Linked DNA regions of Canis lupus familiaris. The protein of the gene in region 2 binds, or shares a complex with, the protein of the main gene of each other region. Links are inferred from orthologs where the notes say so. Each region holds a gene or a part of one and is shown on either strand. Other genes may lie near its edges. The genes, in order: CWC27 and BUD13.

The links.
Region 1: BUD13 (region 2) and CWC27 share a complex: the UniProt entries of both Homo sapiens proteins name them as parts of the activated spliceosome. The link is inferred for Canis lupus familiaris from reciprocal best matches to the Homo sapiens genes BUD13 and CWC27.

Annotation. Positions count from the first base shown.
Region 1 is NC_049223.1:49,881,839-49,886,072, reverse strand, and holds the start of CWC27 (spliceosome-associated protein CWC27 homolog), read right to left. Parts: upstream 2,845-4,234; 5' UTR 2,736-2,844; coding exon of another isoform or gene 2,655-2,735; 5' UTR 2,619-2,654; coding exon 2,577-2,618; intron 1-2,576. Other genes in the region: protein SREK1IP1, read left to right, coding at 2,655-2,735, 3,057-3,279. UniProt on the Homo sapiens protein: As part of the spliceosome, plays a role in pre-mRNA splicing. Probable inactive PPIase with no peptidyl-prolyl cis-trans isomerase activity. As a component of the minor spliceosome, involved in the splicing of U12-type introns in pre-mRNAs.
Region 2 is NC_049226.1:16,817,236-16,821,561, reverse strand, and holds the start of BUD13 (BUD13 homolog), read right to left. Parts: upstream 3,017-4,326; 5' UTR 2,974-3,016; coding exon 2,831-2,973; intron 537-2,830; coding exon 443-536; intron 1-442. UniProt on the Homo sapiens protein: Involved in pre-mRNA splicing as component of the activated spliceosome. As a component of the minor spliceosome, involved in the splicing of U12-type introns in pre-mRNAs.

The DNA.
Region 1 (4,234 bases), on a different chromosome or scaffold from region 2:
TCCCACCTCAGGCTCCCTGCATGGAGCCTGCTTCTCCCTCTGCCTGTGTCTCTGCCTCTCTATGTCTCTCATGAGTAAATAAATAAAATCTTAAAAAAAAAAAAAAAAAGAACACTTAGAAATATGAAGGAGGTGTTCTGAGTTTTCACAATGATGCGAGGTAGGGGTGAGGAGGCAGGCGAAGTTTAGACAACAAAGAATTAGAAGAATTGCTCAAAATACCCAGTGAAGTTTGTGCTGGGTCTATCAATGACATTATTGGTTTTGTTTTCAAAATGCCTTCCCTATATTACAAAATGTCGACCAACAGAAAATTGCATGAACTATGATGCAATCATGCGACAGAATTGTATCTGATGTGAATTTAGTCTATCCTTCCTCAACTACGTACTTTCAGCTCCACTATTTTCTCCAGTATGCTGCTTCATGGTGTTGCCTACGTGATACAGACTAGCCCTCAGTTTAAGAATTCAGGTGATACTGATTCCATGACCGACTCCTCTGACTCACACTGCATATAAAAATCTTCCATGGGAATTGACATACCATGGCCATTAAATCAATCAAGATATCAGGGGACATCTGGGTGGCTCAGCGGTTGAGCATCTACCTTTGGCCCAGGGCGTGATCCTGGAGTCCCGGGATCGAGTCCTGCATTGGGCTGCCTGCAAGGAGCCTGCTTCTCCCTCTGCCTGAGTCTCTGCCTCTCTCTGTGTGTCTCTCATGAATAAATAAATAAAATCTTTAAAAAAAAAATAAATGAAGTATTTCTCTGGATTCTCATCAATTCTTTTTAAAAAGTCAGTTTGTTTTTCTTCTAAGGGAGAACAGGAAAATATTTGTTATCCTGAATGTTCATATATATGTACATATATTTAAGTGAAGTTTTAATTGCAGGGACACCTGGGTGGCTCAGCGGTTGAGCATCTGCCTTCGGCTCAGGTCAGGAACCCCAGGGTCCTAGGATCGAGTCCCACGTCTGGCTCCCTGCATGAAGCCGGTTTCTCCCTCTGCCTGTGTCTCTGCCTCTCTCTCTGGGTCTCTCATGAATAAATAAAATCTTAAAAAAAAAAAAAAAGTCAGGAAATCACGCTCCCATTCTAATGTGGGCACATTTCCCATTCTCTGCTTTCTCTGACAGTCATCTCGTGTTTTAAGGCCAGCTCTAAAAAAATCCCTCATCCATGAAACTTTCCCGCCTCCCGCAGTTGCTCCCTCTTTAGTGCTCCCATACCACTAGCCTCCTCTCACCACAAGCGCCTACCAGATGCATCACAAAGCTTTTTCTTTACATGCCTGCCTCTCAAACAAAACCCTGAGCTCCTCCAGGGCGACCACTACCACCTTCATCCTTCACTGCAGCCCTAGAACCTAGTACAGGGCCCAAGGCTACCACCAGGCGTTCAATAAAAGGTTGTAGAAGGAATAGAGAAAGAGTAGTTCCCAAGTACACCAAAAATAAATAAATAGATAGCTAAACTAATATAAAAAATAAACATAGTAAATAAATATAAAAAATAAGTAAAAATCTAAAAGCCAAAAATGAAAATAGAAAATAAAAAATAAAAATAAATAAAAATAAAAATTTAAAAATAAAAAATAAAAATAGAAAAATAAAAATTAAAAATAAGTAAAAAAAATTAAAATTAAAAAATAAAAAACGAATAAAAATTAAAAATAAATAAAAATCAAAAAATAAAAAACCAAAAATTATAAATAAAAATAGAAAAATACAGAAAATAAATAAAAATTAAAAAACAAAAAAATAGAAAATAAATAAAAAAATCAAAAGTTAAAAATCAAAAATAAAAATAGAATAAAAATTAAAAATAAGTAAAAATAAAAATAAAAATTAGAAAATAAAATGAATGAATAAAAATTAAAATAAAAAATTAATAAAAATAAAAAATTAATAAAAAATTTAAAATTATAAAAATAGAAAATAAGTATAGGAAATAAAAATTAAAAACTAAAAATAAAAATAAAAAACGCAAAAATAAAAAATAAAATTAAAATTAAAAATCGATAAAAATTAAAAATTAGTAAAACCTAAATCAATAAAAATTAAAAATAAATAAATCAAAATAAAAAATTAAAAATAAATGTTAAAAATAAATAAAATAAATAAATGTTAAAAATAAAAATAAAAATATAAAAATAAAACATATAGATATAAATAAACATAAATATAAATATAGAAATAAATAAATAGAAACAAATATAAAAATATAAAAATATAAACAAAGTATAAATTAATAAAAATATAAGTAAAATACAAATAAAACAAATAAAAATATAAACAAGTAAATATAAATATAAATATAAACAAACAAGCCGGTTTTCAGAGTACTTTGTTTCCCCCTGGGCCCTAGAGGACCCCCCTGCCTGAGCCAGGCTGAAGCAAGAAGTGGGGCCGCGGGCCGGGAGGTGCGGGAACGTGGCCTCGAGGACTGGCGCGTACCCGCGGGGCGGAGCGCGCAGACGGTGTGGGAGGCCGCGCCCGGGGACGCGGAGGACGGGACGCCCGGCGGCCGAGCGGTCCCGGAGGAGCCCGCGGCCCCAGGCGAGGCCCTCACCTTCCCGTTGGTGGGAGGCTCCTGGATGTAGATGTTGCTCATGCCGCCCGGTCCGCGGGGCTCCGCTCCGGGTTGCGAATGAGGCCGGAGGGCCGACCCCTCCCGCCGCCCCTACCAGCGCAGCTCCCTCTCTCGGGGGGTCGCGGAGCGCTCCAGGGCGTCAGTGCCCCCAAGACGGCCACACCAGCCACTACCTTTACCCCCCAAACTAGTCCCTCACGGGCGCCGCCATGTCGCTTCTGGACCTGAGCACCGCTAATCCCGAGGAGGGGGGATTCCAATAGCCTCGGGGGGGGGAGAGAAAAGACCGCTAAGAACCGACACATTAATTGAATCTGTGGTACTCCTTTTGAAAAAAAGCAATCTCTAAGCCTTGGTGTTTAACCTCAGTAAACGGGCTCGGGTCTTATTCACTCCTCCCCTCCGCTCCCCCCCCGGGAGCGGGCGGCAATGGTTCGGACCGTGTGTGCTCTGCAATAGGCCTCCCCCCGCGGAAACGGCTTCGACGGGACTTGGGTTCCGCTGTCGCCAGCGGCCTTCCCGGACTGTCACGGCGGTCCCGCGGCGCCGGCGGGAGGAAGAGGCCGCCCTCGCCGTTTGCGGGCCTCGCTGCAGGCGGGCGGCGGGTCCTCTCGGAAGCCCAGGGCTCCTGCGACGCCTCCCCCCGCCTCCTTGCCGTCTTCCAGCGCTATGGCCGTCCCAGGTGAAGCCCGGCGCCGGGGCCCCGAGGTCGCGGCGAGGAAGGCAGCGGGGCCAGGGGAGGTTGGGGTGCGCTCGGGTCGCGGGGGAGCGCCGGGCGGGGCGGGGCGGGGCGGGGGGGGGCGTAGCCTGAACAGGTTCGTCTGGTCTGCAGGAAAAAGTTTCTCCTCCAAAAACAATCAGCGAAGGGAAGGAGGGGCGGCGGAAACGGCGTCCCTGCAGCGCCGCGGAGCTCCAGCTGCGCTGGATGGAGGGCGGGGGGGGGGGGGGGGGGGGGCTGTAACCGTAGGCCGGGCGGCGGGCGGGGGTGCAGGGGTCCGGGGCAGCTGGCTTACCTCGGCCGTGGCTTGAAGACCGGATCCCGGCGGCGCCCCTCGACGGAGCCGAGCAGCCGGAGGCATTGGTGCAGCGGCAGCCGCAGGCCCGGCCCCCGGGGCTCCCTGGTGCCCCGAGCTCCCGGGTGGCCCTGCACCCGCCGCTTTTCGTGCATCTGCAAAAGCAGCCTCGCTCCTTGACGCCTGTGGGTCCCTTCCAAGCTCTCGGTTCTGTGGGTGGGGGCGGGGGGCGGGGGGGTTCACCGTAAGGGAGCCCTACCTACCAAGTAAGCGCCCCGGAGCTCTCCCGTCTGCAAGGACGAGCGTCGGGAGGGCGTCTCCTTAAACCAGGTTTGCTCCCTGTCTTCCGAGGAACCCTGGTTGCAGGAGTTAGTTGCAGAATTATATCCCAACCCGCACCCCGCACAGCTTGGAGACTTCACGATGCACTTTAGTGTAGGAGCGACTCAGGTGCTGCGGTTCAGAAGCCCGCCCTCCCTTTGTTTCAACCTGCCCTTCGCGGTATTATTGAGCCGAGTTTGCACTGTGGCAGCCTCTTCCTGTCTCTTTTTGAAAAGACTGCATGTGTCCATGAGAGACACAGGGAGATGCAGGTTCCCTCCGGGGAGCCCCATGCGGGACTCG
Region 2 (4,326 bases):
CCTGCCTCTCTGTGATTAGTTCCCATTTCTAGGCTAATGAGGCCCTCCATGAACAAAGAAAACACGCGGTCTATAGGCATTATCAAAGTAAACTACTTTAGAACAGCTCTTGGAGGGCTCACAAGTTGAACTGGACATATGCCTTCTGCTCAGATCATGATCCTGGGGTCCTGAGATCAAGTTCTGTATCAGGCTCCTGAGTCCATCAGGCTCCTCAGAGAGAGCCTGCTTCTCTCTCTGCCTATCTCTCTGCCTCTCTCTCTGTGTCTCTCATGAATAAATAAAATCTTTTTTAAAAATTAATTAATTAAATAAAACAGCTCTTTGAAAAGTGTCACCTCTTTTGGGCCCTAACATTCCCCCTTATAAATCCACCCTGTACTAAGAATCAAGATTGAGAGTCTTGCATTTCAAAGTCCTCACAACCTCAAAAGATACACACCACAGGCAAATCTCCATCATCATCTTCTTCCTCTTTTTCTGGTTTAGTGGTAGAGATAGATGTCCAGCTCACATCATCATCCACAATCCGCATTCTAAATATGAAAAATAAAAAGATCAAAAAGGGAAGAATCATTCTTGGGTGACAGCCCACAAACAGTTATCTATGGATTTAGTATAAGCTACAAGACTCTGCAAGGTCCAGTCTTTGCCTATACGGCCAACTTCACCTGTACCACTGCCTCCACAGTTCCCTACCTTGCTAATCATCTTTTGGTGCCTGGAATGAGCCAATACCTTACCACATCAGTTTTCACATATTCAGTTCCTTCCTTCGGCCTGGCCTACTCTTCTTTCTTTAATGGGAAACTCTTAAGAGTCCTAGGATACATTTAACTTCCTTGAGCTTCTCCCCTTACTTCCCATGACTAAGAACCTCTGTTATGCATCCTTGGAATACTTTCATTGCATTAATCACAAAGAAAATAAATCAGTTAGTTGTGTAATTAGCTGTTTAAAGCCAGGATCCCTGTTAAACTATAAGGCCCACTAGAATAGGGACTATGCCTTCTCATTCACTGTGATATCCTGAACACCCTGAAGTAACTGGCATAAGAAGTAGGTGTTCAATACATGTTTGTTACACAGATAAACTATGCATGAGTCCAAGTAATTAACAATGACTACCATGATGTGAACAATTCTATCTGAACAGCCAGTTATCACTTTATACCTCTCTAATCACAACCATAGAGCGATAGTATTACTCTCCTTTTAAAGAGGCAGTAACCGGGACACCTGGGTGGCTTAGTGGTTGAGTGTCTCCCTTCCGCCCAGGCCATGATTCTGGAGTGCTGGGATCGAGTCCCACATCAGGCTCCCTGCATGGAGCCTGCTTCTCTCTGCTTCTTTCTCTACCTCTCTGTGTCTCTCATGAATAAATAAATAAAATCTTAAAAAAAAAAAAAAAATAGGGACGCCTGGGTGGCTCAGCGGTTGAGCATCTGCCTTCAGCTTAGGGCCTGATTCCAGGGTCCAGGGATCAAGTCCCACGTCAGGCTCCCTGCATGGAGCCTGCTTCTCCCTCTGCCTGGGTTTCTGCCTCTCTCTGTGTCTCTTGTGAATAAATAAATAAATAATCAATCTTTTAAAAAATAAAGAAAGGAAGCTGCGGTAACAGTCTTGGAGAGACAGTATGTTGCCCAAGGCCGTAGAGCCCACAACGTGGCACAGCCAGGACTCAAACTCTGACTGGTATTACTCCAGAGGTCAAGCAAGCTATTTTCTCTACATGGCACTGTCTGTGTCCAAACAATCGACACAAGTCGGAAGGCAGGAAGACAGAGGGCAAGAACAGGCAAGAAGCAACCCACGAAAGGAAGTGGATTTGGGGGATCCCTGGGTGGCGCAGCGGTTTGGCGCCCGCCTTTGGCCCAGGGCGCGATCCTGGAGACCTGGGATCGAATCCCACGTTGGGCTCCCGGTGTATGGAGCCTGCTTCTCCCTCTGCCTGTGTCTCTGCCTCTCTCTCTCTCTCTCTCTCTGTGTGTGACTATCATAAATAAATAAAAATTAAAAAAAAAAAAAAAAAAAGGAAGTGGATTTGGTCTCTGGAGCTGGGCGTATTGGTTCCCCAGGGCTGCCTGACAAAGTGCCGCCAACCAGGCGGCTTAAGGCAACAGAACTGTACTCTCTCAGGGTCCTGGGGGCTTGAAGTCTGAAATCAAGGTGTCTGCAAGGCAGTGCCCACTGGGAAGGCTGGGGGCGGGGGGATTCCTTGGCTGTTCCAACTGCTGGCAGCGGCAGGCGTACTCGCATACTCTGGCTACTAGTGGCAGCGTAAACCCAGCCCAAGGCCGGCCTCCATCTTCACACGGCGGGCTTTCCCCATCTCTGCGTCCAAATCCCCCCCTTCCTAAGGGGTCCCCGGGCACGCTGGATTTGGCGCCCGTCCTGATGTGCTGTGACCGCATCTTGATTAGCTACACCCGCGGCGGCACTACTTCCGAAGGAAGTCACGTCCTGGGGTCCTGCGCGGACCCGCCGGGAGAGCGGCACGGCGGCCCCGCTCCGCCGCGGAATCCTGGAGCCTCGGTCGGCGCCCGCCCGCGCAGGACTCGGCCCCAGGTGCGCGCGGCGCCCGACTCCGCCGAGCCCCCGGCCGTGCCATCACAGGCTCCGGGCGACCCCGCCGTTCCTCTCGGCGCGACACTCACTCTCCACGGGAGAGGCCGGAAAGCCACCGGGGCGGGAACAGCCTGAGAAAGTTACCGGCGGCCGGAGGCGGCGAGCGCACGGCCGCGGGGCGCGCCGGCCGAGCGCGGAGCCGGGGAGCAGAGGGGCGGCCGGCCGCCGCAGGCCCCGCCCCGCCCCGCCAGCACCCACTCACCCCCTGCCGCCGGCCCCGCCAGGCTTCGGCCGCTTTTTGCGACGCTTGCGACCGGAGTCCGGGCCCCCGTCGACGCCGGCACCTGCCCCAGACAAGTAACGCTTCAGATACTCGGCCTTGGAGAGCGGCGGAGCTGCCGCCATGGCAGCGGCGGGGGCGGGGAGACGGCTCGGCGCTGGGGACAAATTTCCTGAACGCGAAGCGCACGGCGGGGGGCCCCCGGGGGGGCGGGGCCGGGGCCGGAAGTGGTGGAGAGCTGTGGGACCCGCCCCGGGCTGACCCCCGGCTGCGCTTGCTGGCTCTCCGCAGGTGCGCGCGCCTCCGATTGCACCTCCACCTCCCCCTCCCCCTGCCCCTGCCCCTGCCGGCCCGACCGGCAGGGGTTTGTCCACCTGTCTGCCCCTTCAACCTACGATGCAGCTGGCGGGAGGCTAAAACCACGACCCAAACAAGATCTCTGTCCCCAGCAGCTCCAGAAGCACCATAGCGTCGTCAAGACCTCGGGCTCTGGAGGGACGGTGTCCCTAAGCTGGAGTTCGGGCTCCGAAACTTCCAACTGTAGGTCCGGGGGCAACTTAATTAACGAACTGGGGAGTATAATGGCACCTAACTAAATGGCTTCGAGAAATGAGACACTTTTACTGCGTGAGATGCTTAGCACAGTGTCTGAAGCACAGTATGTATGTTGTTTGTATTAGTATGTTAGGTGGAGGTTAGACTGCTCTAAATAGTCTTCCACGAACCATTCAAGAGAGGTCAGGAATTCCAAACGTGATTACCATGAAAAAATATGGAGGTTTCTCTAACCTGTGACCTTCCCCACTTTTGATAGAATACGTAGCCCCCAACTATCTGTTGCCTGCAATCTTTCCTGTGAAAAGGACCTGGCTCTATTTTCAGCCAGATAGAGAAGCTGAATTCTAATTATCAAGTTGGGAGGGGCCGGGGGGAGGGGACATACTCCTTTTCTTCTTGTGAACATTATTTTACATAAATTACCTCATTTAACAAATCTCTCAAGTGGTTTTATTATGCTTGTTTCACAGATGAGAAAAACCAAAGCTTGGAGAGGTTAAGGAAGTTGTCCAACTTTATACAGCCAAAATGTGACCCTTGGGAGCAGAAGCTAGCCAAGTGAGGTACAAGAGGTAAATCCAAAGTTTGTGAAAATGTTAGATCAAGTATTTCCCTTATCTCAACATGTTAAATTTTTGTCACTGTTTGAAAGCCTATTAGTCAAGAAGGCTTGCTTGTTATACTTTATAAATGCTCTGCTCAGAATCCAGGATACATGCTCAAAAAAAAAATTATATATAATATAGGTGTGGAAGTCCCAGCCCTGATGGATGAACTTTTAACCACAGTGTTGTCCTGACTGGTCCAGCTGAGGCCCAGGAAGGAAAGCAGACTGGGTCTCTGAGGGCTTGTGGGGATACCAGATTGATAGAGGGCTTCACTGGCTGGAGGTCCCCATGGGTCCCCCAGACACAACCCTG